Linked DNA regions of Callithrix jacchus. The protein of the gene in region 2 interacts with the protein of the main gene of each other region in a pairwise test. Links are inferred from orthologs where the notes say so. Each region holds a gene or a part of one and is shown on either strand. Other genes may lie near its edges. The genes, in order: LITAF, BAG3, HSPB1, ENTREP1 and ARRDC3.

Evidence for each region.
Region 1: the proteins of BAG3 (region 2) and LITAF interact in binary tests that used the Homo sapiens proteins (3 or more experiments, as listed by UniProt). The two-hybrid records come from large-scale screens. The link is inferred for Callithrix jacchus from reciprocal best matches to the Homo sapiens genes BAG3 and LITAF.
Region 3: the proteins of BAG3 (region 2) and HSPB1 interact in binary tests that used the Homo sapiens proteins (3 or more experiments, as listed by UniProt). The link is inferred for Callithrix jacchus from reciprocal best matches to the Homo sapiens genes BAG3 and HSPB1.
Region 4: the proteins of BAG3 (region 2) and ENTREP1 interact in a two-hybrid assay, tested with the Homo sapiens proteins (2 studies listed by BioGRID and IntAct). The link is inferred for Callithrix jacchus from reciprocal best matches to the Homo sapiens genes BAG3 and ENTREP1.
Region 5: the proteins of BAG3 (region 2) and ARRDC3 interact in binary tests that used the Homo sapiens proteins (3 or more experiments, as listed by UniProt). The two-hybrid records come from large-scale screens. The link is inferred for Callithrix jacchus from reciprocal best matches to the Homo sapiens genes BAG3 and ARRDC3.

Annotation. Positions count from the first base shown.
Region 1 is NC_133513.1:17,576,400-17,581,314, forward strand, and holds the end of LITAF (lipopolysaccharide-induced tumor necrosis factor-alpha factor), read left to right. Parts: intron 1-1,240; coding exon 1,241-1,349; 3' UTR 1,350-2,933; downstream 2,934-4,915.
Region 2 is NC_133513.1:113,170,579-113,177,105, reverse strand, and holds the start of BAG3 (BAG family molecular chaperone regulator 3), read left to right. Parts: upstream 1-2,135; 5' UTR 2,136-2,449; coding exon 2,450-2,629; intron 2,630-2,701; exon of another isoform or gene 2,702-6,527. UniProt on the Homo sapiens protein: Co-chaperone and adapter protein that connects different classes of molecular chaperones including heat shock proteins 70 (HSP70s), e.g. HSPA1A/HSP70 or HSPA8/HSC70, and small heat shock proteins (sHSPs), e.g. HSPB8.
Region 3 is NC_133503.1:11,062,986-11,068,748, reverse strand, and holds HSPB1 (heat shock protein beta-1), read right to left. Parts: upstream 3,158-5,763; 5' UTR 3,118-3,157; coding exon 2,754-3,117; exon of another isoform or gene 2,313-2,753; intron 2,071-2,312; coding exon 2,007-2,070; intron 1,896-2,006; coding exon 1,706-1,895; 3' UTR 1,586-1,705; downstream 1-1,585. UniProt on the Homo sapiens protein: Small heat shock protein which functions as a molecular chaperone probably maintaining denatured proteins in a folding-competent state. Plays a role in stress resistance and actin organization.
Region 4 is NC_133502.1:95,517,905-95,523,785, forward strand, and holds part of ENTREP1 (endosomal transmembrane epsin interactor 1), read right to left. Parts: intron 4,235-5,881; coding exon 4,082-4,234; intron 1,868-4,081; coding exon 1,575-1,867; intron 1-1,574. UniProt on the Homo sapiens protein: Functions as an activator of the E3 ubiquitin protein ligase ITCH in the ubiquitination of the CXCL12-activated CXCR4 receptor. Thereby, triggers CXCR4 endocytosis and desensitization, negatively regulating the CXCL12/CXCR4 signaling pathway.
Region 5 is NC_133503.1:119,360,717-119,367,287, reverse strand, and holds the start of ARRDC3 (arrestin domain-containing protein 3), read right to left. Parts: upstream 4,082-6,571; 5' UTR 3,857-4,081; coding exon 3,577-3,856; intron 1,734-3,576; exon of another isoform or gene 1,199-1,733; intron 1,190-1,198; exon of another isoform or gene 296-1,189; intron 1-295. UniProt on the Homo sapiens protein: Adapter protein that plays a role in regulating cell-surface expression of adrenergic receptors and probably also other G protein-coupled receptors.

The DNA.
Region 1 (4,915 bases), about 96 Mb from region 2:
CCTGTCCACATGGAAAAGAGATTAGGAAGACAGGGGTTGGCAAAACGGCCCGGGAGCCAGGTGCCTGTTTTAAGTTTCACGGGGACCCAGCCACACCTATTGGTTTTTGGATTCTCTGTGGCTGCCTTCTCTTTACAAGGGCAGAGCTGAGTAGTGGCAACATCAAGTCGGGGCGTGTGGTGGTTTCCACCTGTAATCCCACACTTAGGGAGGCAGAGGTGGAAGGATCACTTGAGGCCAGCCGTTCAAGACCAGCCTGCGCAACCTATCGAGACCTTATCTCTGCAAAAACAAACAAAACCCAGCAATAAAAAGACTAAAAGATATGCTGTCTGTCCCTTTGCAGAAAAAGTTCACCAAGCCCATCTAAGACTTTGAAAGATTCCTAAATGACCCAAGATTTAAATAATGCCCAGAGGGGCTCTGTCTGTGGGAGGAGCCTTGGCAGTGGCTGGCATGTTAATTTCCTAGGGCCGCTATCAGAAATGACCTCACACCTAGTGTTTAAAACAGCAGCCATTGACTCTCATAATTTTGGAGGCCAGAGGTGTAAAATCAAAATGTCAGCAGGGTCTGGGTGCAGCGGCTCACGCCTATAATCCCAGCACTTTGGGAGGCCAAGGCTGGTAGATCACTTGAGGTTAGGAGTTTAAGACTAGCCTGGCCAACCTGGTAAAACCTTGTCTCTACTAAAAATACAGAAATTAGCCAGGCTTGGTGGCGTGCACCCACAATCCCAGCTACTCAGGAGGCTGAGGCAGGAGAATCGATTGAACCTGGGAGGCAGAGATTGTGGTGAGCCTAGGTTGTGTCACTGTACTCTAGTCTGGGTGACAGAGCCAGACTCCGTCTCAAAAAAAAAACAAAACACCCCAAAACCAAAATGTCAGCAAGACCACCCTCCCCTTAAGGCTCCAGGGGAGAACTGTTTTTTTGCCTCTTCCAGCTTCTGATATGTCCAGGTGTTCCTTGGCTTGTGGCCTTATCACTCCAATCTCTGCCTCTTTTTTTACATCCCCTTCTGCGCCCCACCCCCTGCCGTGTCCTCTCCTTTTCTTCTAAGGTCATTAAGTTTTGGGGGTCCACCTGGGTAATCCAAGATGATCCCATCTCAAAATCCTTAATTACGCTGGCAAAGACCCTTTTTACAAAGAAGGACATGAACCTGTGTTTTTGGAAGCCAGCATCCATCCTGCTATAGTCAGTAACGTGCTCCCTGTGTCTCTCTCTCTTCTCCCAGGTGCATAGCGGGCTGCTGCTTTATCCCCTTCTGTGTGGACGCCCTGCAGGACGTGGACCATTACTGTCCCAACTGCAGAGTTCTCCTGGGCACCTACAAGCGTTTGTAGGACTCAGCCAGAAGTGGAGGGAGCCGGGTGCCGCAGGGAGTCCTTTCCACCACTCATCCAGCTTCACGCCTGGTGGAGGTTCTGCCCTAGTGGTCTCACCTCTCCAGGGGGCCCACCTTCATGTCTTCCTTTGGGGGGGAAAATGTCGCAAAACTAACCAACCTCCAAACCCCAGAAATTGCTGCTTGGAGTTGTGCGTAGGACTTGCAAAGACATTCCCCTTGCGTGTCGGTCCAAGTATCAGTTCTGCCTCCCTGTGACCCTGAGTCCTCCCATCTAACTGTGATCATTGCCCTGTCTGAGTCTCTTCCTGTGATCTGCCATCAGTGGCTCTTTTTCCTGCCTCCGTGGGCCTTTCTGGCAGTGGTCTCACACTGAGAAGCCACAGTTGCCTTATTCTGGAGGCTGTTCTGCCTGGAGCTTGGCTGAGGCAGCCTTTAGTGCCTACCATTATCTTACTCATCTCTTCCCATCCCTGATGACAGAGATCTTGCCTTATAGACTTTACAGGCTTGGCTTTTAGACTCTGTAACTGCAGACTTCATTAGCACACAGATTCACTTTAATTTCTTAATTTTTTTTAAGTACGAGGAAGAGGGGTTATTAACACCCAGCACAGATATATCCACGAGGTCATAAACGCATGCTAAAAAAATAGGGCTGGATTTATATCACTGCTCCGACCCCCCCGCCCGCCCCCGGTTTATGTGTCAGACCTTCAGCACCCCTTCCATGCAGGGATTTTTTCTCATAATTATATGAACAGTTTTTATTACCTCCTTTTGGTCTGAAATACTTTTGAACAGAATTTCTTTTTTTTTTTTTTTTTGTTTAAACAGAGATGGGGTCTTACTCTGTTGCCCAGGCTGTTCTCAAACTCCTGGGCTTAAGCAATCCTCTTGCCTTGGCCTTCAAAGTGCTGGGATTGCAGGCGTGAGCTACTGTGCTTGGCCTGAATATAATTTTAAGAGGAGGATTTATTAACATTTTCTGTAATCGTCCGATTGGTGTCATTTTCCCATTTGTCCATGTAGTCTCACTTAAAAAAAAAATACATAAAAAGACATGGATAATTTCATCCTCTGCCTTTACTTGGGGATAATCTGGTTTTTAAACACCTTCATGGAACTCTGAAAGTGGGATCCCTTTTGGGTCCCTGGCGATGGGTTTTGAAAGATAAGCACGTCCGGGTACCCTGGTGTCAGAAGGAACCAGAACTCTTTCAGAGGAATCTAAAGTCTGATTTTAGTTTTCAGAGACACGGTTTGTTGTAAAACATCCGAAGACCTGATTTCCAGGACCCAAGCAGCAAGCCAGCTGCTGTGTTGTCTTTAAAGTCAAGAAAAAGCTCCAATTTGATAATAATTAAGCATAAGGAACTCACGTGAATACTACCATGTAGAAATAAAACCTAGATCTTCAACGAACATCTGTATAATTGGTTGAACATGATCGTGGTAACCATTGATCCCCCTTATTTTATGTGTTTGGAAAATTGCAGTCATGATCATTTTGCAATGAATATGGATACCACTTTGGTGTTACCTGCTTTTGAAAAATAAAGTCTTTGGTTCACTCAGTGAACTACTGATGATTTCTTTGGATGTGTAGAAAGGGCTCTCAGGTTGCATTTCCAGCTGTTGCTACAAAGAGCCTTTATTTGCTCGGTAACGTTGAAAAATTCTTCCCGATGAAAAACTTCAGACTTGCTGAATATCCTGCTATCTCAAGATGACCGATGTTGAGTTGGGCGGATTTGCTAACGAGTCAGATTTGAGCATGCGGCTGTTGGAACCCAATAGGCGTCATTGATGGCGGCAAGCCATAGCTTTCAAGTTTTAATAAAATGCACAGAAGAGAGCTGTCCTCATTCATTCTCTGAACAAAACATGCTTTGTGAGATGCTAAAAAGAGGGTATTGTAATGTGTCAGGAATATGGATGCCGCCTTCCCCCTCCTTTGCTACCTGATGAGACGGCTTCATTTCGGTAGGTGCAGGGAAATACTGTCATCTTGGTGGGGCTCACATTATCATTTAAACCCTAAATTCCAGTCTTGAAAAATTGCGGCTTTCCAGATCTTGATTGTGTGCTTTCGAGGCCATGCATATTTAGCAGTTTGGCTCAGATGGTGGCGTATACATGATCTCAAGCTGTTATTAATTACACATGCAGAGTCTTCAAAACGAGAGCCCTATTTCAGGATCGTAAAAACATGTATTACACGGAACTTCCACGTCAGATGCCTGGAGTACGAAGCGCTGGACATTGCATTTTATTGTTTAAAGTATGGATTTACGTATTTTTGCAAATTAAAAGGCTTTTTTGTTTTGCCACTTTCTGATGGGGACCTGAGGGTGTCACAAACACTGGTTCACGTTTAGTGAATGAAAGGGCTTTATTGGACCGCAGAGAGGAATTTTACCAATCTGATACCAAAAGTGGCTGCATATCTTATATTCCACTGTGTCTGTCTAGGCAAGGGGGCATTCTAAGAAGTGTTGGTTTGTGTCCTAACAAAACTATTCAGCTACCGCATCTATTGAAGCCAGACGTAAGCACATGACTGATCCTTGCTGACCGCAGCGTTACCCATGAAAATGTTTTCTCTGGGACAACTAGCCTCCCAGTTGCTAACGAGACCACCTCTGTTGGATACTGAAATATGTATAAACATGGCTTCATGTGCTCACACCATTTGGCCTCAGTTTTCTCCCTAGTGAGAGCCTGTTGTATTTGGGATGCTAAAATCTTTCTTTGACCTTCTGGACTGAAGATTCCTGGTAGGAGTAAATCTAGACGTTGGAATTTTGCTTGCAGAATTCGGATTTGCCTTTTGGTCCCTCGGTCCTCCCCTCCCTGTATGACTCAGACATTTACAATGAGTTGCCTGTTTTTTGCAGGCACGTGATTGAATTGGAAGTAGATCTAGCAAGGGCCATGAAAGGGACATCAAGAGTAGTTTTGATTTTTTTTTTTTTTTGAGAGAGAGTCTTGCTGTGTCGCCCAGACAACAGTGCAATGGCATGATCTCAGCTCACTGCAACCTCCTCCTCCTGGGTTCAAATGATACTCCTGCCTCAGTCTCCTAAGTAGCTGGGATTAGAGGCACCTGTCACTGTGCCCAGCTAATTTTTGTATATTTAGTAGAGAGGGTTTTGCCATGTTAACCAGGCTGGTCTTGAACTCCTGACCTCAGCTGATCTGCCCATCTCGGCCTCCCAAAGTGCTGGGATTACTACAGGCAGGAACCATCACACCTGGCTTTTTTTATTTTTTAAATCTAAGAATTTTAAATAAGATTCTGGAGCTTAGATTAAAATGAAATAAATAAATAGCTCACCACCAAGAATAGAGTCTAGTGCATGTAACCAGTTTGTGCAACTGCTCTCCAAAGTTTTAAAAAGATGGCTTCCCAATGTCCCCCCTCCCCTCCCCTCCCCTCCCCTCCCCTTCCCTTTTCTTTTGTGATGGAGTCTCACTCTGTGCCCAGGCTGGAGTGCAGTGGCACAATTGGCTCACTGCAACCTCCGCCTCCGGGGCTCAAGTGATTCTCCTGCCTCAGCC
Region 2 (6,527 bases):
AGGCGTGTGCCACCACCCTCAGCCCCTGCATACTTTTGACTCTCCCAAAACTACCAATAGCCTACTGTTGACCAAAAGCCTTGCCAATAATATGAACAGTCAATTAACACATGTTGTGTGTTACATGTATGATATACTGTGTTCTTGCAATAAAGTAAGCTAGAGAAAAAAAATTAAGAAAATCATAAGGAAGAGATTTACATTTATTGCTCATTAATTGGAAGTTGATCATGATAATTGTCATCATTCTCATCATCTTCACGTGGAGGCTGAGGAGGGGAAGGAAAAGGAGGAGACAGTGAGAATCCACTGTCTCAGGGGTGGCAGAGGCAGAAGAGGTAAAAGAGGTGGAAGGGGAGACAGGAGAAGCAAGCATACTCAGTGCAAATTTTATTGAAAAAAATCCAGGCCAGGTGCGGTGGCTTATGCCTATAATCCTAGCACTTTGGGAGGCCAACAGGGGTGGATCACCTGAGGTCAGGAATTCTAAACTAGCCAAGCCAACATGGTGAAACCCCATCACTGCTAAAAATACAAAAATTGGCCCAGTGTGGTGGTGGGCGCCTGTAATCCCAGCTACTCCGGAGGCTGAGGCAGGAGAATCACTTGAACCCAGGAGGCGGAGGTTGCAGTGAGCCCAGACTGCACTACTGCATTCCAGCCTGGGTGACAAGAGCGAAACTCTGTCTCAAAAAAAAAGAAAATCCATGTACAAGTGGACTTGCTCAGTTCAAACCCATGTTAAGGGTCAATTGTACAGTAATCTGAAGTATGTAACCTGATGTTAACCAATCATTTCTCTCTCTCTCTCTCCCTCTCTCTCTCTCTTTTTAAGAGACAGGGTCCTGCTCTGTCGCTTAGGCTGGCATCAGGAGCACAATCATAGCCCATGGCAGCTTCAAACTCCTGGTCTCAAGTGAGCCTCCCACCTCAGCCTCCTGAGTAGCTGAGACTACAGGCATAAGCCACTGCACCTGCCTTATTTTTTTATTTTGTAGAGGTGTAGGTCTCACTGTGTTGTCCAGGCTGGTCAAACCCCTGGACTCAAGAGGTCCTCCAGTCTTGGCCTTCCAAAGTACTGGGATTACAGGCATGAGCCACAGTGCCAAGCCCTCATCCGTTATTTTTCTGTGATTCTCTCTGTCCCCTCCTTACGAGGAAAGTAATTTTAAAACAACCAATTCAGCCTTGGTTCTTTGTTTCTGTTTTCTTCAGCCCTTCTCTGTCTATAAAACCAACCTCTTCTGCTCGGCTTTTAGGAACACTTATTCTAATTTAATGGAGGTGTTGCCCAATTCTAGAATCACAAAATCAGTTAAGATCTTTAAACTAACAATAAAAGTTAACAAATAAAAACAAACAAAAAGATCTTTAAATTAAAAATGTTGTCATTTTCTCCTTTGGCAGGTTACAAGTGCAACCTCCATTCAATGAACCAAGCGAAAAAATGTCACGGTTAGGTTAGGTCTTTACTTCCCAAATGAGGGTCAAGATGTAGGATAGCAAGAACCAACCTCTACTATAAAAAAGATCCAAACCCAAGAGAATGTGATTTTTCTGTAAAGCTGTTTACTACAACGAAACTTTCTTTTTAGTCTGGGAGACTAAAAACCATCAGCTGACACAATCTTTTTTTCCTTGAAGTTTCCAAAGAAAGGCAAGTGAGTTTGCACTGACTTCCATTTTCTCCCTGCCTTCCTGCTAGTGTCAGATGAGCGTCCCCGCGCTCCTCCCAGGCAGCCCTCAGTGTCCCGGGCTGTCATATATGGGGGAGGGGATGGGGTGGGTGAGATGGCTTTGTTTGTACAGAAAGGAGGGGCGGCAGGCACGGGGAGGACCGGCTCCGGCCCAGGGAAAACTCACTAGGCGCTAAGGAGAGGGAGGGAGGGAGTGTGAAAGCCGAAACCCGCCCAGGGCGCACGGAGGACGACCCCAACTCAGTGCGTCCGGCGTCCCATCCGCAGTCAGGCCCCGAAGGCGCGCCCGCGGCCACTCCGGCCGGGGCACGCGCACTAGGAGGCTCGGGGAGGGGCGGAGGGAGGCGGGGGAGGGCGGGGAGGTCGGGGACGAACGAGAGGGCCGAGGCCCCGCCCCCGCCCGCCGCGATTATAGCCGATGACTCAGGGCGGAGCTCCGCATCCAACCCCGGGCCGCGGCCAACTTCTCTGGACGGGACTAGAAGTTTCTAGCCGGCCAGTTGCTACCTCCCTTTATCTCCTCCTTCTCCTCTAGCAGCGAGGAGGCTATTTCCAGACACTTCCACCCCTCTCAGGCCACGTCACCCCCGCCTTTAATTCATAAAGGTGCCCGGCGCCGGCTTCCCGGACACGTCGGCGGCGGAGAGGGGCCCGCGGCGGCGGCCAGGCCAGAGACTCGGCGCCCGGAGCCCGCGTTCCGCACCCGCGCCCCGGCGGCCCCCGCTCCGGGCCGACCCCAACCCCTACCCAGCATGAGCGCCGCCACCCACTCGCCCATGATGCAGGTGGCGTCCGGCAACGGTGACCGCGACCCCCTGCCCCCCGGCTGGGAGATCAAGATCGACCCGCAGACCGGCTGGCCCTTCTTCGTGGACCACAACAGCCGCACCACGACGTGGAACGACCCGCGCGTGCCCCCCGAGGGCCCCAAGGTGAGCCGGGCCCGCGGCCCGCCCTGGTCGATGGCGCCACCTCGACGGCGGGCGGCGGGAAGGGGGCCGGGCGGGTGGGACGCGAGAAGCGGGGCCCGGGGGTCGGCGAAGGCCCCTCTCAGGCGGACACCGGCTCCGCGCCCAGCCACACATTCCCGCGGCTCCCGGACGAGTCCCTGCTCCCGACCCGCCCTTGACAGGCGTCCGGGCCAAAGGAGGCCCCGGGATCCGGTGGCCCGGGAACCGTCCCCGCAGTGGCCCCTGTGCCGTCCGCGGCTCGACTCCAGGACGGAGGGCCGGGTGTCCGGCGCTGGCCTAGCCCTCCCGAGCTTGGAGGAGGGCAGCCGGCTTGGTCGGCTCCGGAGGCCGCAGTCCCTGCTGCCCGCTTGGCCTCCGGGCCCGGGACCCGCGGCGCACCCCGCTGTCCACGAACGCGAGGGAGACACAAGCTTGGATGGTGGTTTTGGGGGATTTTTACCTCTCAAGTTCCCTAACTTGGTTGAGGGATGTCTTCACTACTGTCCCATCTGAGGCACCCAATGACTCAGGAAGCTGGTGTCAAAACATTTATGCCTGTGTGTGTGTGTGTGTGTCAAATTAAAATTGTATTATTGTTTGAAAGTGCTTTGGATCTGTATGTATCCTATTATCACTTGTAAAATTAAAAACGGGGTGCATTTCTCCCCAGCAGTTTCTAAACTAGACGGGAGACTGTCTTACAGTTGGCCATTGCATTACCACATTGCCTCACCCTGGAGAGAAAGAGAACGATAATGTGTATGTTTATAATGGCATTCGCTTCCTGCCTTGTTATGGTATTAAAATACTTAGGATTTGTTACCAGTACACAAATAACTGAGTAATGATACTCTTGTGAATATAGCAGAAGTATGTCTCATTTACATATATGCAAGGATATATACTTTTTAATCCCCAAGAGCATGAAATTTGAAAACATAAGTTTGGAATGAGTCTGTTAATTTTCAAAAATCATACTTATACTATTCTTTCCATTTTCTGTAAATTTGAGCTTTCAAAATAAAAAGGTTTTAAAAATAATTATGTTATACTTAAAACGTAATTGTGACTGCTGTCTGGGCAAGATAGAAGCAGCAAAAGAGGTGATAAATTATTTTGAAGATTTAAAAACTCAGCAAATTAAAAATGCTTTGTATCTCATGATTTTAGAAGAAAGACCCATATTATTTCCCTTCATTTTTATACACGTTCTGTTTTAACAATATTGACAAAACTCTGGTTCCCAACAGTGAGATGGTGTACAGTCAGCAGTTTACATTTACGAGAGATTAATTGTATATTTATTCTTGAAAATTAATATAAGAGGCTGTAATTAGCTGGGATGGGCACAGTTAAATATACCTTTTTGGGTGTCCAACCCATTTTTGGGTGAAACTGACGCTCATTTCAAACCCCCTTTCTTAGCAGTCTGCGTGGATGTACATGATCTTTAGTGTGGTTTACAACTATTATTTTGAGGGCTTCTTCCTGTAGACATAGGGACAGTAGCATTTGCTGGCAGCCTTTGTTATGAGTGAAGATTAAGTTTGAATGTAAACATTGTCAGTACTTTGTTCTCAGCATGAAACTTACCCAGCAAGTTGAGATCTTCCTGTACCCACCTGGTGCCTGGGTTAGGCTGTGGTTTCCTAAACCTTAAAAGGAAAAAAGCAGGTTTAGTTACCATTATTCTTCTCAACAAATAGAAAGTAAGAACTACTAAATCAGAAGTCTGATGCTGGAAAGGTTTATTTGAAAATTTCACAGTGAAAATGTTAAAGTTGAAAGGTCCTTGAAGATCTTTTAGGTAGGCTTCTTTATTTTCTGAAAAAACCTGGAGAGTTCAGGTGTGATTTTTGAAGGTCACCCAGCTAGTACCGATAGCAGGGAGAGTACTGATGTCAGGAGAGTCCTCATAAGAGGCAGTGTGTCTGTTCAGAAGGTGGAAGTGAATGTTTTGTGAAACCGTGAAGCATGCAGGCTAAAATACTTGATTACCTTTGTGCCCTCCTGGCCACCAAGTTATTGGGTCACTGACCTCTGTGCTGTGATTGCTTGGATTTTGATGATGGGACATGATCAACTCAAGAAGAGAATTCTCGGGCTGGAGGCAGTGGCTCACGCCTATAATCCCAGCACTTTGGGAGGCCGAGGCGGGTGGATCACGAGGTCAAGAGATCAAGACCATCCTGGTCAACATGGTGAAACCCCGTCTCTACTAAAAATACAAAAATTAGCTGGGCATGGTGGCGTGTGCCTGTAGTCCCAGCTACTCGGGAGGCTGAGGCAGGAGAATTGCTTGAGCCCAGAAGGGGGAGGTTGCGGTGAGCCGGGATTGCGCCATTGCACTCCAGCCTGAGTAACCACAGCGAAACTCCGTCTCAAAAAAAAAAAAGAAGAGAGTTCTCTTTACCAAATCAATGACTTGAGACTTGTGAGCATGGCACCAAAACTTAAGGAGAAAATTAACATTCAGCCCATGAGCTGTTTGTGCTTCATTGCTTTTGATCCTGTGCTTTGACACACGCAATATATGGTGACTAATTCAGTTGTACTTGTGTGAATTACACCTTACTCAAGACTAAATGTAGTAAAAAATCCTTCAGTATCATTTTGTATTTGAAATTGGTTTTTCAATGCATAATGAGAAAAGGGCCCTTGCAGAAAAACAAAGGGTAATTTTGGAGGAGTTGAGCTGAGGCTCAGATCTGGGCATTACCATCTTCAAGAGGAAATGCTGTCAGTCAGCAAAAAGCTGTTCATTGAGCGTGAGGAGCTCAAGAGAAACCTCTCTTTTGGGGGATGACTCAGCTTCAGGATGTTTAACACTTTTGTTTTATTTTGTTTAACATTTTTGTTTTGTTGAGACAGTTTCACTCTTGTCCCCCAGGCTGGAGTACAATGGTGCGATCTCCATCTCGGCTCACCTCAACCTCCCCCTCCTGGGTTCAAACAATTCTCCTGCCTCAGGCTCCCAAGTAGCTGGGATTACAGGCACGCGCCACCACACCGGGCTAATTTTGTATTTTTAGTAGAGATGGGGTTTCTCTATGTTGGTCAGGCTGGTCTTGAACTCTCGACAGGTGATCTGCCTGCCTCGACCTCCCAAAGTGCTGGAATTACAGGCATGAGCCACTGCAGTCACCCTAGGGTGTTTAATATTTAACTGCATTAGTTAAAAAAAAAAGGAAAAGACTAGACCTTTGTATTTTATTTAGTCTTCTCCTGACATCTTGCAGTTGATCCTCCGCCTTCCCTGAAGTGGTTAGGGCAACTCCCTGTTTTTGCAGAAGGGCAGAGCGAAAGCAAGTGTCTTCTGTTGTTGCTGAAGCCGGCCAGCAGCCCACAAAGATGTTGGGCTTCATCCAGCCCCATTCTAAGCAGCCGGACCTCCACACCTGCAGTCTTCATGGATTTTGATTTTCTGTACACTTGGGCTTCCCACTAATTTGGCAAGTTCATACCAGTCCAGGACCCTTCCTAGCAGAGGTTGGCATTCAATAGTGGTTGTAGCCACTCCTCCAGGCTCTCCTCCCTGAATAAACAGAGGCCGGACACTCTGGAGTGCTGTTCCTCGACAGGCATCCCTGGGATGAGAGGGAGACCTCCCTCCCTCATGGAGCAGGGCTGTTCTAGCTCTGTGGATCCTGGGGTTTATCAGCCTGGCAGTCTTCAGGGTGTCCTGTTAAGCTGTGTCTCACCACTTCCCTGCCCAAACCCCATGTTCAAATCTGAATTGCTCAGTGTAGAGCCCAGAAATCTATTAAGTTCAGAAAGCTAATTTGGTGGTTCTGATTGTGCCACACTGCAGTGGGAGCCATGGATGGCCAGTGATCCCATTTTGGGGAGGAGGAGCTGCAGATTAGTGCCTCCTGAACAT
Region 3 (5,763 bases), on a different chromosome or scaffold from region 2:
CTCCGCCTCCCAGGTTCAATTGATTCTCCTGCCTCAGCCTCCCGAGTAGCTGGGATTACAGGCGTGCACCACCTCGCTTGGCTAATTTTTGTATTTTTAGTAGAGACAGGGTTTCAGCATGTTGGCCAGGCTGCTCTCGAACTCCTGACCTCAGGTGATCCACCTGCCTTGGCCTCCCCAAGTGCTGGGATTACAGGCATGAGCCACTACGCCTGGCACCCCCATCTGCTATGTACCTCCACAGCTTTCCCTGGGCCTGGTTAGAGGGTGGCAGCTAGGGCAAGGGCAGACAACAGAGGAACTGGGCCCATGGAGGCCTGGCTACACCGGGAGGGAGGCCAACTGAAAATAAACACAGGCAACAAGAATCGCTGGCAGAGCCAGCAGCACAGGTCTGAGCGCGTCGGCCAGGGTGCTACCCAATCTCCCCACCCAGAGACTGCGGGCTCCGTTCTCACCCCAGTTCTGCCTGCCAGTTCCCTTGTGACTGCCAACAGGGATGCCCTGGCCTCAGGGGGTGTGGCAGTGACGACCTCAAAGCTTACCAGGTCCACTGTGGTGCCCTTGGGTGCGCCGAAGCCGAAGCCAAGCTTCTGACGCAGTAATCTCTGCGGGGAGGTGCAATTACCCCCGTGCCCCTTCACCTGGGCCCCAGCCTCGCCGACCGTGAAAACTCAAGCCTCAGGTGCTTCCCATTTCCTCCGCTTCCACACCTTACAGTTTTAATTGCAACCATGACCTTGCAATCACGACCTTTTTTTTTTTTCTTTTAAAGACAAGGTCTCACTCTTTCTGAGTTTTTAGTTATTTATTGAGACGATCTTGCTCTGTTGCCCAGGCTGGAATGCAAAGGCACAATCTTAGCTCACTGCACGCTTCAACTCCTGGGCTCAAGCAATCTTCCAGCCTCAGTCTCCTGAGTAGCTGGGACTACAGGTGTGCAATAACACCCCTGGCTAATTTTTATTTCTGTTATTTTATTATTTTTTTTTTTTGAGACAGTCTTGCTCTGTCACCCAGGCTGGAGTGCAGTGGCACAATCTCGGCTCACCACAACCTCTGCCTCCCAGGTTCAAGTGATTCTCCTGTCTTAGCCTCCTGAGTAGCTGACATTACAGGCATATGCTACTACGCCTGGCTAATTTTTGTATTTTTGGTAGAGATGGGGTTTCAGCATGTTGGTCAGGCTGGTCTCGAACTCCTGACCTCATGACCTGCTCCCCTCAGCCTCCCAAAGTGCTGGGATTACAGGCATGAGCCACTGCAACTGGCTTTTTATTTTTAAGAGATAGGGTCTCACTGTGTTGTCCAGGCTGGTCTTGAACTCTCAGCTTCAAGCAATCCTCCTGCCTCAACTTACCAAAGTGCTGGTATTGCAGGTCTGAGCCACAATGCCGGGCAATAGGACCTCTCTGTCTTTATGGATGTGAATTAGCCTGTGCCTAGCAACCTACACGGGAGTACCCACATGGCCCAGCACGGGGCTGTGCACCCAGCACACCCTGAGCAAAGGTGGCTAGTGTAAGCCAGGGAATGGCAGGTGCCCGAAGCTTCCTTCCACAAACACCAGGGTCTGAGCCAGTGACAGGTGGGTTGCTTCAAACTTTATTTGAGAAAAACAAATAAACGTATCAAAAGAACACACAGGTGGGGGGGGAGGCATGGCCAGTGGCGGCGGCACGGGTGGGCATCCGGGCTAAGGCTTTTACTTGGCTGCAGACTGGTCAGATTTCGCAGCTTCTGGGCCCCCAAGCTGGGCCCGCGACTCGAAGGTGACAGGGATGGTGATCTCGTTGGACTGTGTGGCTGGCTTGGGCATGGGGGCCTCAACGGTCAGTGTGCCCTCAGGGGACAGGGAGGAGGAGACCTGGGTGGGGTCCACACCAGGGGGCAGCCTGGACGTGCAGAGAGGGAATGTGAACGTTACATTACACTTCGGGTGGGTCCCTGTGCCCTCCTCCCTAGCCCCCGGCACCCACCCACCCCGACCTGGCGGCAGGACTCACGAGTATTTCCGGGTGAAGCAGCGGGAGATGAATCCGTGCTCATCCTGCCGCTCCTCGTGCTTGCCTTCGGGGGACAGGAAAATCAGAATGAGGGAAAGGGGACCGACTCTCGGCCCCGCCAGGCCAGAGGCCCCACCTCCAGCTTGGAGGCAGCCAGGACTGCAGGCTGGCAGGGATTAACAGAGGAGACTGGGGGTGGGGGCGTGCCGGCCTGTCCGGGCTCTCAGAAACTTCCGGAAAGTTCGAGTAAGAGTTTTGGGAGGAACGGAGCAGGGTGCCGAGGGGCGGAGGGAGCAACGCGCAGGCGCACTGGGAGGAGCACGCACGCCCCTCGCGCGGCTAGGGACAGGGACCACGCCAGGGGACCCGCTTATCTGCGGATGGGGCTGCGGGTGGGGAGAGAGTTCCGTGGAAAGAAGCATTTCTTCACCGATGATCTTTTAAAACATTTTTGGTTGCTTTTTAATTTTCTTGTAGTTGGTAGGGGGGGAGGTCTCGCTATATTGCCCAGGCTAGTCTTGAACTCCTGGCCTCCGCCTCCCAAGGCGCTGAGATAACAGAGCAGAAAGCGACCTTAGAAGCGACCTGCACTCCCGATTCCTGAGCAGGGGAATCACGGACGGATCCCGTTTTTCCCGGTGCTGGGCTAACTTTTAACTCCCCAGGCCCGGGGTTTCAACCGCACCCCCGGGCCCCGCCCTCCCCGCTAGCCTCCTCCCCTCCCCTGCAGGGCCAGGGGGTGCTCACCGGTGATCTCCACCACGCCATCCTTGGTCTTGACCGTCAGCTCCTCGGGGGCGAAGTGGTTGACGTCCAGGGACACGCGCCAGCGGTCCGCCGTGTGCCGGATCTCCGAGACCCCGCTGCTGAGCTGCCGGCTGAGCGCGCGGCTGTAGGCGGGCGCGGCCACTGCGGGGCCCTCGACCGCGGCGGGGGGCAGGGGGCGCACGTAGCCCGGCCAGCTGCTGGTGCCGAACCACTGCGACCACTCCTCGGGCAGCCGGGGCATCCCGAATGCCTGGTCGAAGAGACGGTTGTGCGGGTACCAGTCGCGGAAGGGGTCCCAGCTGGGGCTCCGCAGGAGCGAGAAGGGGACGCGGCGCTCGGTCATGCTGGCTGGCTCTGCCCGGGACGTCTGCTCGGAGAAGTGCGGGCCGCGGTGCTGGGTCGCGCTTTTATGTGCCTCCGGTTGGGTATTTTTAGCAGGCGGTGTTTGAGGTCTCTATTAATGGAAATGACCCGTTTGGGACCGCCTCTCCCCATGCACCCCTCCCCCCCATCCGCAGAGTTCAGGGGGCCGTGGGCGGGGCGAAGAGGGTTCTGCCCCAATCTGGAACCTTCTCTCGTTAAGGAAAACAAATGAGTTCGAGAGTGCGACGCTGGAGACGTGCCACACTAGGGCACTCGGAGGCCCTGGTGCTTCAGCGCTGGCGGGTGTGGCCGGCGGCCAGGCCAGTCCTTTTGTTAAGCAGGACAGCGCCAGACAGGTTGGGCTGGGGCAAACAGCTGGGAAGTGGCAGAGGCAGGGTTGGAACCACAAGGCTGTGTGTGGAATGTGATGTAAAGCAGTCTGGTGCTTGAGTCCAGGAGTTCGAGGCTGTAGTGAGCTATGTTCTCACCGCCGCACTCCAGCCTAGGCAACAGAGCAAGGCCCTGTCTCAAAAAAATAAAAAGGGGCTGGGTGCATGGCTCATGCCTGTAATCGGCACTTTGGGAGGCCAAGGCAGGAAGGATGGATCCCTTGAGGCCGGGAGTTTGAGACCATTCTGGGCAACATGGTGAGACCTCACCTCTACCAAAAAATGTTTAAAAATTAGCTGGATGGCTGGGCGTGGTGGCTCACGCCTATAATCCCAGCACTTTGGGAGGCCGAGGCGGGTGGATCACGAGGTCAAGAGATCGAGACCATCCTGGTCAACAAGGTGAAACCCCGTCCCTACTAAAAATACAAATATTAGCTGGGCATGGTGGTGCGTGCCTGTAGTCCCAGCTACTCGGGAGGCTGAGGCAGGAGAATTGCTTGAACCCAGGAGGCGGAGGTTGCAGTGAGCCGAGATCGTGCCATTGCACTCCAGTCTGGGTAACAAGAGCGAAACTCCATCTCAAAAAAAAAAAAAAAAAAAAAAGGAATCTGACAATCTGTGTGGTTGCAAGGTGTGTGGGCTTTGGGAGGTTAAGGTGGGAGGATTACTTGAAGCAAGGAATTTGTGACCAGCCTGGGCAACACAGTGAGACCCCATTTCTACTAAAATTCAAAACAAATTAGCTGGGGATGGTGGCGTGCATCTGTAGTTCCAGCTACTCAGAAGGCTGAGGTGGGAGGATCATTTGAGCCCAGGAGGCTGCAGTGAGCCTGATTGTGCCACTGCACTCCAGTCTGCATAACAGAACAAGACCCTGTTTCTTTTCCTTTTTTTTTTTCTTAAGAGGGGGTTTCACCATGTTGATCAGGCTGGTCTTGATCTCCCGACCTCAGGTGATCCGCCCGCCTTGGCCTCCAAAGTGCTTGGATTACAGGCATGAGCCACCACACCTGGCCCACCCTGTTTCAAAAAACAAAACAAAAAATTATATTACTGTGGTTTTGTTGATTTATATTTTTTAAATTTGAGATGGAGTTTTGCTCTTTTGCATACCCAGTCTGGAATGCATAAGCAGGATCTCAGCTCACCGCAACCTCTGCCTCAAGGGTTCAAATGATTCTCCTGCCTCAGCCTCCTGAGTAGCTGGGATTACAGGCATGAGCCACCATGCCTGGCTAATTTTGTGTTTTTAGTAGAGATGGGTTTTCTCCATGTTGGTCAAATTGGTCTCGAACTTCTGACCTGAGGTGATCCACCTGCCTCAGCCTCCCAAAGTCCTGGGATTACAGGCATGAGCCACTACGCCCTACCACTGTGTTCTTACTGTACGTCTTCTATGTTTATTTGTAATTTTTTTGAGATGGAGTCTCCCTCTGTCACCCAGGCTGGAGTGCAGTGGCCCAATCTCGGCTCACTGCAACCTCTGCCTCCTGGGTTCAAGCGATTCTCCTGCCTCAGCCTCCCGAGTAGCTCAGACTACAGACATGTGCCACGACACCACCTAATTTTTGTACTTTTAGTAAAGACAGGGTTTCACCATGTTGGCCAGGCTGGTCTGGAACCCCTAACCTCAAGTAATCCACCTGCCTTGGCCTCCCAAAGTGGTGGGCTGACAGGTGTGAGCCACCGCGCGGCTGTCTTCTGTGTTTAGAAACGCTGCTACTTACCATCATGTTGCAGCCACCTCTAATATGTGGTGCAGTCATGTGCTGTAGAGGTTTGTAACCTAGGAGGGGGAGGCTAAACCGGACGGCTTAGGACCTAAGTGCACTCCGAGGTGTTCCCACAACGATGAAATTGCCAAACAAGGCATTTCTGAATGTGGCTCCGTTGTTAAGTGACTCATGACTGTACTGGGTTGGCCTGAGAATTCAGTGACCTAATGCAGGTGAAGGCTTTAGCCCAGAGCCTAGGTCATCATAATTATTAGTTGTTATTGTCTGCCTAGGATTGAAGAGAGAAGGGGAAGGAGAATTGCTGGGGTTTGGCCATTTTCCCCCAGCTCCTAACAGTGGGGCTGGCCCAGATCAGAACTCTGAAGTCGCAGAGGGGTCAGGAGGAAGGTTACAGTCACGTCTCCCACTATATCTGTCTTTCTTTAAGAAGCACTGGTTGGCGGGGCGAGGTGGCTCACACTTGTAATCCCAGCCCTTTGGGAAGCTGAGGCTGGTGGA
Region 4 (5,881 bases), on a different chromosome or scaffold from region 2:
ATATCAGTGAAAATCAAAATGGATCTAAAAACTCCAATGTGCGAAGCTGCAGTCCTTGCCTCCTCCTGCCTGGGAAAAGGTATGGCATTACAAAACCTCACCTCTAAGGTCCAGTCCTGGAAGGCCCAGCAGATGGCCCAAAATATATCACAACAATCTCAGCACCTGAACTTTTAACCTGTCTGAAGCACAAAGATCTAGCAAACAGTTGTAATGATAACATCTAGTGAACCGTACAAGTGCTTGTTCTTTTTCCCCGAGCTATTTCCCAGGGAGCAAAACTTTGCAGAAGGTCCAGGCCCACTGCCTGGTGAATGCTCCAGCTCTTACTTTATCAGAGCTTGGCAGCCTTCCAGAAGTGGCTCCTGTTTTGGGGCTGTTGGGGCCAGACAGAGGGAAGGTGACAGAGAATGATAACTGGAGTAGCTAAGGGACACCAGGATGTAAAATGTTTCCCCTACCCAGACTAGTAACTGGAGCCTGATCCGGAACCATCAACTGATCAGACTTTTTAGGGTCTGTGGTTGATGTACCTCTTCATGCAAGTAATCAGATCATTCCTCCCCACTGGATCCCCTGAGGGACTGGGAGAGAATTTGGCTTCTGGCTTCTGTTAAGAAGAGGCCAGCAGGTAGAAAGAGGGAACAGAGGGAAAGTGAGAAGGGTATTTACTCAATCTGAGTTAAAATTTTACCTATGATCCTGAAGTTGGTAATTACCCTAAGAAATTAGCCCACTTCAATTGAAGAAGCATTTTGGGGGCATTTAATGCACAAAGACACAGAACCACATAACATCCAAATGCCATTGTGGGATGCTGTCTACAACCTCCACCCCACTACCTGTAGCAATGAAGCAAACATCCAAAAGGGAATGGCTTTTAAAAGAGTTGGAGAGAAGGCTGTTACCAGAAGGAAACTCCATTCATTCAGAAATAAAGGTACAGAGACTACCTAGTCCAACCCTTTACTTTAAAGAGGAGAAACCTGAGACTCAACTGGATTATGTTCATACCCAATTCTATCTTTTCCCCAAGTGGCTTCAGTTTTGGGGATTGCCTTGTACTTTTTAATCTATAGGAAGAAAAGGTGTTTACTCCTTTAGGACCTGTTTGCTTATATATCTTGCCAAACATTTCATGGTAATGTGAACAGCTCTTAGAATCTTGTCAATATTAAAATTCACCTATGTCATCATTTTCAAAGGGCTGAGAAAACATGCCCCATCAAAGGAAACCTTCAATTCAGGAAACCAAATGTTGCATGCACTCCACACTGTCCATAGCCTTTGTTCTTATTCCTAGAACACATTCTTTTCTTTTTCCAGACATCCTTTCACATCCCAGAAAAACTGGGTTTTCTTCCCTTGAGCCAAGGATGATGTAGGAAAGTCACCACACTTGAAAGGAAAGCTCCCTGGCTTCCTCTCTCTCCCTCCCCTGACCTCCCAACCACATTTACCTGAAGACTGTTACCATGAACTTACTCTGCCTCAGACAGGAAATCGGAGAAGCCACTTGAGCTGCTATGAAAATGAGTTATCTGATTCATGCCTGAGATTAATAATAAAACTACCTGTTCTAGGAAACTGGCACTTGTGATGGCTTCCTCCATGTGCTCCTCATCAGACTTCAAAACAGATTTAATGTTTTCTACAAGTTCATGGATGTCTGGGGTCATGCTACAGGAGGACTGCTCCAGGAACCTCGCCACCAGCAGCTTGGTGTCCATGTAGGATCTGTAATCTATCAAAGACTGCGGTCTGCATCGCGAAGCTCTCAATCTCAGGCCTCTCCTCAAAGTCACCGCAGCCAGATCCAGTCTCCTTTCAGTCTGTGTCGCAGCTTCACAGCTGAGCACTGGGGCAGCTGTTGGCAGAAACAAACAACATGTACCCATTGGCCAACCCCTTTTGAACACATGCCTGTACCTGAAAGCACAGACCACAAAACTCAACATGGAAGCATCTGACAAATGCTGATAGCCATGCACACCCTGCTTTTTATCTTGCAGAAGTGGGGAAAACAACTATGATACAAAGTTATTCCCTGAATCCAGTTCCAACTGGATATGGTCCAAAACATGTAATGGTGTCATGTACAACACCACCCCCAAGGTAAAGCCAGATGGTAGAGAGGAGAGTCCAGAATGCAAACCACAATGAAGTAAGTTTCATGGGGTATGACAAATAGATGGGGATGGATGGGCCAAGCAGGAAAAACGTGGCTGACCAATGAAAGGACATTCCAAGGAGTGAGGATGAAGCAGTCACTTAAGAGAGAAAGGGGCTGAAGAGAGACAAGACTTGTCAGATGAATGTAATGCTCTGGTCACTTTGACTATACCTTTGTCCCAAATGTCCTCAAGGACATTGTACTGACTTGCGTTATTGATGCTCACACCATGGATATGAGGTAGATCTACAGCTATTACAAAAAGAGAAACTTAGGTGCAGAAAAAGTACACATCATTTGGAAGTCAACAGAGGGCCTGGGAAATCCATCACAGGCTCTAATCTCCATGGCTACCTACATTAGCAAGGTTGTAAAGACCAGCAGAAGGCTTCTGCACTGTGAAGTGGGTGAAGCAAAACTCAGATCTGGTCATTATGCGTCCAGAAGCCAGCCAGCAGCCTTCAGTGTACACAACACTTGCATGTTCAGTCTACGAAGGCCTGATAAGCAGAAATTTAGAAATTCAAAGAAGACAAGAAGCAGGTGAGAGCAGGTGGAAGAAGGGGAGCACTCCTTTTCCTCTGGAGAAAGGCAGGTGTGGGGAGCTCTAAACCAGGATTCAAGACTGTCCTCTCAGGCAGCCATGTGCATGTCACAGAGAGCAAGAGTCTTTCAGAAGCACTCGCCAAAGACACTCGTGTGTGAGGACAGAGTCAGGGTCTCCACTCTTCCACTAGAAGGCAACCTTGTGCCTTCCACAATGGAGGGCTCCAGCAGCTGCTGTCCTTGTCCCTGCAGGTCTGCAGAATGAGAAAGGGTTCCAGAGAGATTTCCCTAAGCGGTGCAAATGGCTAAGTTTCCATTGAGGCTGGAGTCCTTAACTTGCCAATGTTGGGTATAGAAGACCCACAGTGAAGGCAGGTCTTGGGAATCAGAAGCCAGGCTGCCCGGCCACTAACTTTCAGAGACTCAGTACCAGGCGGCCGGACTTCCCACTCAGAAGCCACTGTAGAGACAGGAGTGTTCTCTCTGGCTCGCACATGGTCAGTCCAGAGCTGTGGCAAGTAACACACTGTCAGAGGGGCAGAACAGAGACTGCAAGGGCTCAAGGCAGGACCCTAGAGAGAGCAGGGTGGAGGATTATCAGAGTTTTATTTGCATAGAGTTTTAGAAGAGCAGAGGTCAGCTCTGCTAGACTACTTCACAAGAAGCCAGTGCTGGTGGAGTTACAGGAGGTTTTAATTTTCTTCCTTTAGTTTCTTTACTTTTTATAATTTTCTACAATGAAGAGATATTTGGAGATGTTCAGGTATTCATATATTCAGAAAAAATCATCAGTGTTGTTACTTTAATTTTTTTAAATGTTTAGTTATTCAGGTAACGTCTATACACAAACTGAACAGAGAGAGAGAGAGAGAGAAAGGTGAAGTGTGTGGGCATATGTATTTCATTCTATCAAAGTTCTAAAAACAAGGTCAGATTTCAAGAATTCAATCTACTCATACATAGTAAAAATATAACAAATTATAGAAGAGGGAGTATACAAAAATCCTTTTGACATTTTTTTAAGAGAATGCATATTCCCATAGGATTGCAGCATCTAGAAATCATAACTAGGTGTGCATAATTTTCTTCATGTAGCACCTAGCACAGTATCATGTACAACCAAATTCTTTTGATGACAATGACTTAAAAAAAAAAAAAAAACCCTACCATCCTTAAAAGACATGACAGTTGTATATTCCTAGCATACATGTAGAATATTTTACTTTCCCAAGGCCTCATAAGCTCTTTCGAATAACCACTTCAACTGTTGGGTCTTGAGCTGGCCAGAGCCACCTGCCTTCACCTGGCTCCTTTAGACAAATAAGCACAGAGTCCTACGAAGAGCTTGGGGAATGACATCACCTCTCTCCTCGGAATGATGGAGCATGGGGTCACTCTTCGACCTCGTCCTCAGGGGTGGGAGGGCTCTGTGGCTTCTCACAGGACACACCAGGGTTGAACTGGGAGTTGGCATGGATGCGTTTTCTTCTGCAGGTATGTTAGGAATGTCCCCACCTGATTTTTTTTTTAAAGAGGCAAAATATAAATTATTTCACCAGCTGTGGTCCTCGAAATGGACAGGAAACACCTGTGAGCCTAAACCTGCCAGGGCAAGGGTAATGTAGTTAATAACATTTACTCAGGCTGCTGGCCCAGTAAGTTTTTATATCACTGAACTATGGGAAAACTTGCCTTTCCAAACCACCCCTCCATGCCTAAAACAAACAAACAGAAAATTTAAATCCAAGAGCAAAATAAAGGAGCCATGCCAAAATGTCAGGGTTTTTTTTCCTAAAGGTGCTTAGAATCTTCTCCAGGGAAGCATCCTGGGGCAGTACTGAAAAGCTCCCTGACAGCTCAGGATAAACCTGGTTCTCGGGAAGCTAATACCTGGACAGGTGAGGTGGCTGCCCTGTGGGCTGAAGAACCCCCAGATGGCTAAGATAGAGAGTCAAGTCGCCACTAAAAAATCTGTAAAACCCCACTGGAATTGGATAATATATGCTCATGAAAATAAAATCACACCATTTGTGAGCCTGAGTTGTAATTCGGGAAACTGTTTTAAAAAATGGAAAGATTGACTAGGTGCGGTGGTTCATGCCTGTAATCCCAGCATTTTGGGAGGCTGAGGGTGGGTCACCTGAGGTCAAGAGTTCCAGACCAGCCTGGCCAATATGCTGAAACCCAGACTCTACTAAAAATACAAAAATTAGCTGGGCATGGTGGCACACGCCTGTAATCCCAGTTACTCGGGAGGCTGAGGCAGGAGAATCACTTGAACCTGGGAGGTGGAGGTTGCAGTGAGCTGAGATCTCACCATTGCACTCCAGCCTGGGCAAAAGGAGCAAAGCTCTGTCTCAAAAATAAATAAATAAAAATAAGATAAAATAATTAAAAATGGAAAAATTATGAACTTAGGAGACAGAACACTGCTTCATAATTCTACTTAGGATGGAAGGTGAACAGAGCACAGAGTATTACATTACAAATAGTACTGCTGAAAAATTACCTCCATCTAAAATTGCTAAGAGTTGATCCATTATTTATACCGTTTGCAATTTTGTCCTAGTGGACAATTCTCTGGGCCACTTAAAGCCTCCCCAAAGAGAGAAGGCCATAACAGTATTCCCTTAAATAACAGTGATAAATGTAAACTGGCTCTAGTACTTACTATAGTCCTGAAAAATCAGAATTCACTAGCTGCTCAGACAGCATGACCTGGGCCCTAGGTTATAAATGATATAGCACAATCTCATCTCAAACCACTCTGCAACAGAGAAAATCTTTTTCTCCTGCCAAAAGTCTAGCTAATTTTTAGGAGGAAGAAAATCATATGTCAGGAAACACAGGAATACCAAATCAAACTCTGTAATCTATTTCATGGTTCCTGAGAGCAGTTTGGCTCATAAAAAATTCTAAGGATATCTTTTTTCAGTTCACATATTTTCTCTGATTTATAAGCCCTAATAGTTGACGGTATTTTTGTGCCTGGAGAAAAAGATGTAGCTTGAACTATTTGCTGCAAGAATATCTGCCCTCCAACAAAACACCAGACAGGATCATTATTTTATCATGGCTATTTTTTTTTTTTCATTTGTAGAGACAGGGTCTCTCTATGTTGCCCAGGCTGGCCTCCAACTCTTGGCCTCATGTGATCCTCCC
Region 5 (6,571 bases), on a different chromosome or scaffold from region 2:
CACATTAAGACTATAATGTTTAAAATAAAAACTGTTCATGCAAACCTTTTAAAATATGTCAGTTTAGGGGGAATACCAAAAATATGAATAGAATAGATAGTCCAAAACCACTGGAAAACTGTCAAATAGATGAAGGAAAAAAAAAAGCACACACATTGATTTTAATGTGTTTTATAGCTAAAAATAAATATTTATTGTCCTAAAATGATCACAACACTCAGTTGGTCCTAGCAACAACTAAAACTTGCATAAGCTATACCCTTAGATAATTAAAACAACAGCATTTAGGTGGTACCTGCTTATGAGGAAACAATATTGTCCCTCATCCTTGAAGAAATGAAGTCCAATTACTAAGAGTTTCCAGTTGCCATAAAAAAGGGATGAGGTCAAATTATCTTTTGAAGTAGCATGAAAATAAAGAAATATAATCGAAAATATGGGAGGGGGTTCTAGATCATTAAAATGCTTATTTAGCGTTCTGACTAGATATATAATTACACAAATATTTTTAAAAGTATCCTCGGTGTAGAAACCTTTGCGATTAGCCCTCAGAGTAGGGAAAAACCGGCACATTATTTAACTTTCCTTCAGAAAAGTACTGAATACACCCAAAAAACGTGATGCTTCCCTGATATTAAACGAGAAAAGGAGGAAAAAGGCATGTATACGTCGATACTTTTATTGAAAAATCATGGTGATTCGCTTATGTCTCCATACGATTTTCCTCACCCCCTGTGCAAATCCCCTGACTGGATTTCAGAATCAAAAACTAGCTGGTGAACTGGGGGCCATTTAAATTCGCTCCTGTCCAAGGCGCCCAAAGTTTGCCTTCTTCTCCCTTTCTTCCCTCCTCGCTCCCTTTTTTGTGCCAGCTCAGCAGTCTCATTGAGGCTAGCGGCTGCGGCGGCGGCGGCCGCGCCGTGGTAAACAAGTGCCCGGCTGTCAATCAAGAACTAGACCGGAGCAGGAGAGGACCGGCCTAAACCGGCGCGAGCAGATCCCAGCCGGCCCGCCCGCGCGCCGCCGCCGCTCGCGCGCCCCGCTATACATACGGCATACGTCGCGCGGAGCTCGCGCCCGTGCCCGCGCAGCCTAACATGCTGGACGGGGAGGAGGGGCGACAGAGTCGCTGCGCTTCCGCTTTACACGCCCCAGCCGGCGACCGGTTCGATCTGGCTCGGGCCACTCTGACACCTTTACAGTTGCAGCGAGGGAAACTGGGGCGGCGGAGGGGAGGCGGGGGCCGGTAGGCTACGGGAAACAATGGGGGAGGGGGCAGGGGACACCCGTCGAGGCCCCCACCCAGATTTCGATATTGGAATCACTTTCTCCCCCGGGCCAACCTTTGCTCTCTCCCCTCAAGTCGAATCAAGGTAGCCAGTCTGGCGACTAGAGAAGTCGGGCAACACTCTTTGTTTCAGCTAAGGGGAAAACAAGCGTTCACAGGAGTCCCCCAGTATGCCCCTCCCGGAAGATAGCTAAGGGGGTCCTGCCAACCCTTCGCGTCAAACTCCCATCTAAAAAGGATTTTCTGCTAAAGTTGCGTCCAGAGCCATCTGGCACCTGTAAGGCTAGAAGGTACGTCTGCCGTCTACTCAGTTAAATCCTGAAGTCGTTTCCTTTCGATGGCCCTTATCAGGCCCAAAAGAGGGGCGACAGAACGTGATGTGACAAGGGCCGGGCGCCTCCAGAAGCCCGGGAACAAACGTAAGTACGGGAGTACGGGTTGCTCTGGAGAGACCTTTACCGGCGCACGCCGGTTTCCTAGCCTCGCCCCAGCGGCGGCGCGAGCCCACTCTCCCCACCCGCCCGCGCCCAATCCAATCAGCGCCTGCCATCGCCTTAGCAACAGGCTAACAAACCTGGCTTTGCCTATCCCGGGCGCCCGGGGCGGGGTCTCAGTTACCAGGCTAGTTTGAGAGCTCCCAGTTTCAAGTCTCATTGAAACTATTCCAGACCGATCTAGTCTACGCGTAGCAGGGTTTGGGGGGCATTTTGTAGGGGGTGGCAGGGCACTTAGTTTTCTTTGCCATGAAATCATAGTGTGACTAATAAAATTATATTTGTCCCCACAACTCGTTCTACTTTCCCCCCATTGCAAGTCTCAACTCCTTGAAGAAAAACCTGTTTCTTTTCACCCATTTCATAAATAGCTGCATATTCAGAAAGGTACAAACACTAAGTCATGTATCTGGTTTTCAACAAATACCAAGACTGTCATTAGGCATTTGCATCTCCTATCAGTGTTAACGCTTGGAGAGATTAATTATTTCTGGATACAAAGTAACTGTGTCTACGAAAACCCTACCCTACTAAAGAACTGAGTTCACCTTAATAGTTTCAAAAATAAGGCATTAATAGTGTCACTCAAAGCATCCTTCATTTCTCACTTGCCGTAGTTCAGTCATCAGCACTTCTCCAGGATGTACATTTTTAATATAAAAAAGAAGGTGAAATGTGCCTGTTTTTTTTTTTTTTCTGAAAAATCGCCAACATCTGAACTAAATACTGTATTAAAAAGGAGAGGCACAAAAATTACATAACCAGTTTTAACATTATATTCTTCTTGGGCTAGGAATTAAGTCATCGCCACCACCTGACGCGTGTAACCAATCTGCTGAGAGCAGAACAAGCGCCCCTCCTCACCACCCCCCAGAACTGGTCCGAAACAGGATTGAACCGCTTCTAACAAAGGGTGGAAACTTAGAAAAACAAGCCTAGAGTCTCCTATATTTCCACAATGTAACCATTTAAACAATAGATTGGAAATCTCAGGACCTCTACTCCCTTTGACAACCCTGTATCTCCCTCTTCTAACCAAAAATCAAATCCACTATGCCCTATAGTTTTCAATTCCATTTGACTGGCATGGGTTTCATTGAATGCATGTTCCAAAGTTAGACATGATGCTCGGAAAAGAGAATTACCGATCCTAAATGACTTCTAAAACTGACTCAATACCTATAATAATGACAGATAATACCCTTAAAAATAAGGAATGCTTGGTGTAAATTTTTAAAAGAACGGAAAAGAATAAAAAAACACGTGGGGTGTTGATACCATATGTCAAAATAAGCCACAGAAACCGTTTGTGAAAGAAAGGTGATCAATTCTTTAAAGTCTTTGCGTTCCAATATTAAAAATGAAACATCCAATTAAGCCTCTTAAATATGTTATTACATTTCTTGATCGAAGTTCAGTTTTTAAGTCTTAGGTTGCAAAAATCTAAAACTGCAGCTTTTAGCAATTCATTTGAGAATACATTAGTAAAACGATTGAATTGGATTCAAGCAGAATGTATAAGGTGCAAATGGACTACAAGTGCGTGTGGCACAAACCGAGCCGGGTATAGAGGTAGTTGAATAAGTGCAGTTTGCAGTCACTTTGCAGATGCCTGCATGCATTACGGCTTAACACACGATGAACGTCAAGGAGAATCCAAACCTTGCAACTTTGCTAACCTTTATCAAACTGCTTAGCTATGCTCGGAGTAAAATCGCGTTAATTCAGAAAACTGAAAAGGTACGTTTCCAAAGAAAATGAGTCCAATGACTTCTCAATAATAGAAAAACTTACCTCTTTCGTGCCCAATTAAGATGTCTTTATGGTTGAAATACTCTACTTCTTCAGTGTAATTCTGTGTATAGGCAGTATTGGAGCCGGCGTTTCTAGATTCAGTCCAGCGTACTTTCGCATGTCCTCTTGCATGAATTTTAAGAGATTTTACTCTGATTTCCCCAGTAACTTCTAAATTTACCCTTCCTGAGACGGTATCCCCACTAGAATACACAGGGACATTGCTGTCATTAAGACAGTCAAAGCTTATTGTCAAACTCTTCACCTTTCCCAGCACCATGTTTATAACAAAATCTATAAAAATATAATGTAAGACAAAAAAGTCAAGATCACATATAAAATGTGATCTTCACTTAACACTGATCGATATTTTTGCCGTGCAAAATGGTTGCAGGCCGGATCAGTGATTATCTACAAATAGTTCATTGAGATTTCTTAAAAAGTCAGGGCAGCAGACGCTGCTGCTCCACGCTCCTGCTCGTCTCAGCGGTCTCCTTACAAAGACGGGCGGCTAAAGGCTGCCAGCTCACTTTAAGAGCAGCTTTGTGAAAAACAACCCCAGTGCGCAGGCGCAAGTTGCGGCTGCTGTCCGCCCTCCCTGCGCGCTCCCTCCCGCGCCGCGCCGCGCTCGCTCTCTTGCTCGCTCCCTTGTTCGCTCGCTCCCGGGTACAGTAGGTGTAGAGCTAGGGGAAGAAGATACTGGAGCTGCCGGCAGGCTGAACCTGACTTCTCTTCATTGTGGGCTCCTATTGGTAGGCAGGCTACCGTAAACCCTCGACGTGCTATCTGGAGCCCCTTACCGAGCACACTCTACTAGAAAGATAATGGCAGAACGGGGCGCGAGGGGACAAGGGCTGGGTGGGGAGTTGTTTGCAAAGCCAAGTAAGGATAAACTGCAGTGACCAGCCCGAAGCGTGCGTTACCGGCACTGCAGGGTTTTGCCAACTAGCTGGATGGGAGGAGGAAGAAGTGATGTGTGAAGAGAGATGGGGGAAGGGAGAAACCGGTTGGGCAAGCGGCCGATTGTTGAGCACAATCTTAACGAATTTTAAAAGAAAACGTATTAAAACAGGACAAGAAGTATTGTTCATAGTATTCTTGGCTTGGATTTTTTTTTTTTTTTTTTAACAGTACTTGGGAGGTAGAGTGGAAATGAACTCAGTCGAGGTCAAAGGAACCTTAAAGAATCCTTTGAATAGTAAGGTAGAGAAGCAAATATAATGTAATCAGTAGGCTGAACTTCTTTCTCCTCCATCGTTTAATTAGATACCACCGAAAAACAACCAAGTTGTTTCCAGGATGACACGGGTGAGGGCTAGGGGAAAGCTTGCCCACTTCCTCGAAGGAAGAAAAAGTCCCTATTAAGATACCACCTCCGACTAGATTTGCAGAGTAAGACATGATTACAACTCCTGCGTCCTGAGGAATAAGAATAGAGTTCAGCCTAAAAAAGTACCACCTTATAAAAGGCATATGACATTGTGGTTTAGCTGACACACTGTTTGCAACAGAATCGGAAAATCTTTGTTAGAAATTAGTGAAGCACGTAAAATAGTTTTTTAAAAAGCGTGATATGGTATATACGTAGGGATTGACTGTGTGAAGCTTTTTGAGCGGAGAGCCTTGGACCATTTAACGTAGTAATTCTCATGATACATCTTAAATTTAGGTACATTTCTCTTTTTATTGTGAATGGTAAAAAATAGCAGTGCTTTCGTAACATCATCCTGGGATTCAGAGCACAACAGCATAAACTCCTTTAGATTATTGGCAATCAACAGAACCGCCTTACAAGAGAAATGTAGAGAGAAAAAGTATGAATTTGGTGCTATATCGATATATATATATCTCTATATGACCAAAAATACCTTGGAAGGTTTTTGGCTGTCCGTATCTAAACATTTTAGATTCTTTTGAGTGTGTATTTGGATAGGTTGAGCCTATGAGTCACAATAAGCTAAACTTACTGGTCTTGCTGTTTTCTTTATTTCAGAATAAAGTAAATTTGGGGGAATTGGATTTTAGTTGACAAGGCAATAGCTTGGACTCAACAGCAATATATAGAGTATAATTATGCAAACTATTTAAACACTTATCGAGCAAGCCATTTATTTCAGAGTTTAGATCTCTTTGCTTAAAATTATGAATTTATATATTTAAGTGGTAAAAATAATAGTGTCTTTTCTCCCCTCTTGGTTGACACCTGGTGGAAATCTAGGTAAAGTACTTGGGACCTTGTACTAGTTTTGATAACAGATACTACTTGTGTTTTTTCTCCACCTGGTGGTAAAAGTGGTAAATTTCTTAGATGACAGCTTTTCCTCAGCATAAGGTCAATGATACTTATTAAGCATTCAAAAACGGCTGAGCAAGGAATGGACTTAAAAGTGTAATACACAATGAATACATAAATTCGTTACACATTTGTGTTAAAAATTATTAAGAGTTAGTGAACAACAGCTGAATTCAGATTTTTTTAGTAAAATTTATCTACTTAGAATATAACTTATTTGAGAAAAAAAAGAATAATTAGCTGTTTAAATATACTAGAATTGCATTTAATAAGAAAGAACCCCAAGAAATTTATTTGTAGTTTGGAAAATTGTTTTAAAATATTATGTGTTTCCTGTCACTGCATGGTACATTATTCTTTGTGTTTGAAGCTTTCAGGATCTTTTGAATAGTTGCCTTTATTATTTATTTTGCTATTTTTCTTTATTTTCTTTATTAGTGTTTCTTCCTAAGTACTTAGGTAACTGAAAAATTGCCAAGAAATTCTTACTAGCTGCCATTTTTATTTTATTTTTATTTTTGAGATGGAGTCACTCTCTGTCCCTCAGGCTGGAGTGCAGTGGCACAATCTTGGCTCACTACAGCCTCTGCCTCCTGGCTTTAAGCAATTCTTCTGCCTCAGCCTCCGGAGCAGCTGGGATTATAGGCACATATCACTGCCCTGGCTATTTTTTGTATTTTTAGTAGCGACGGGGTTTCACCA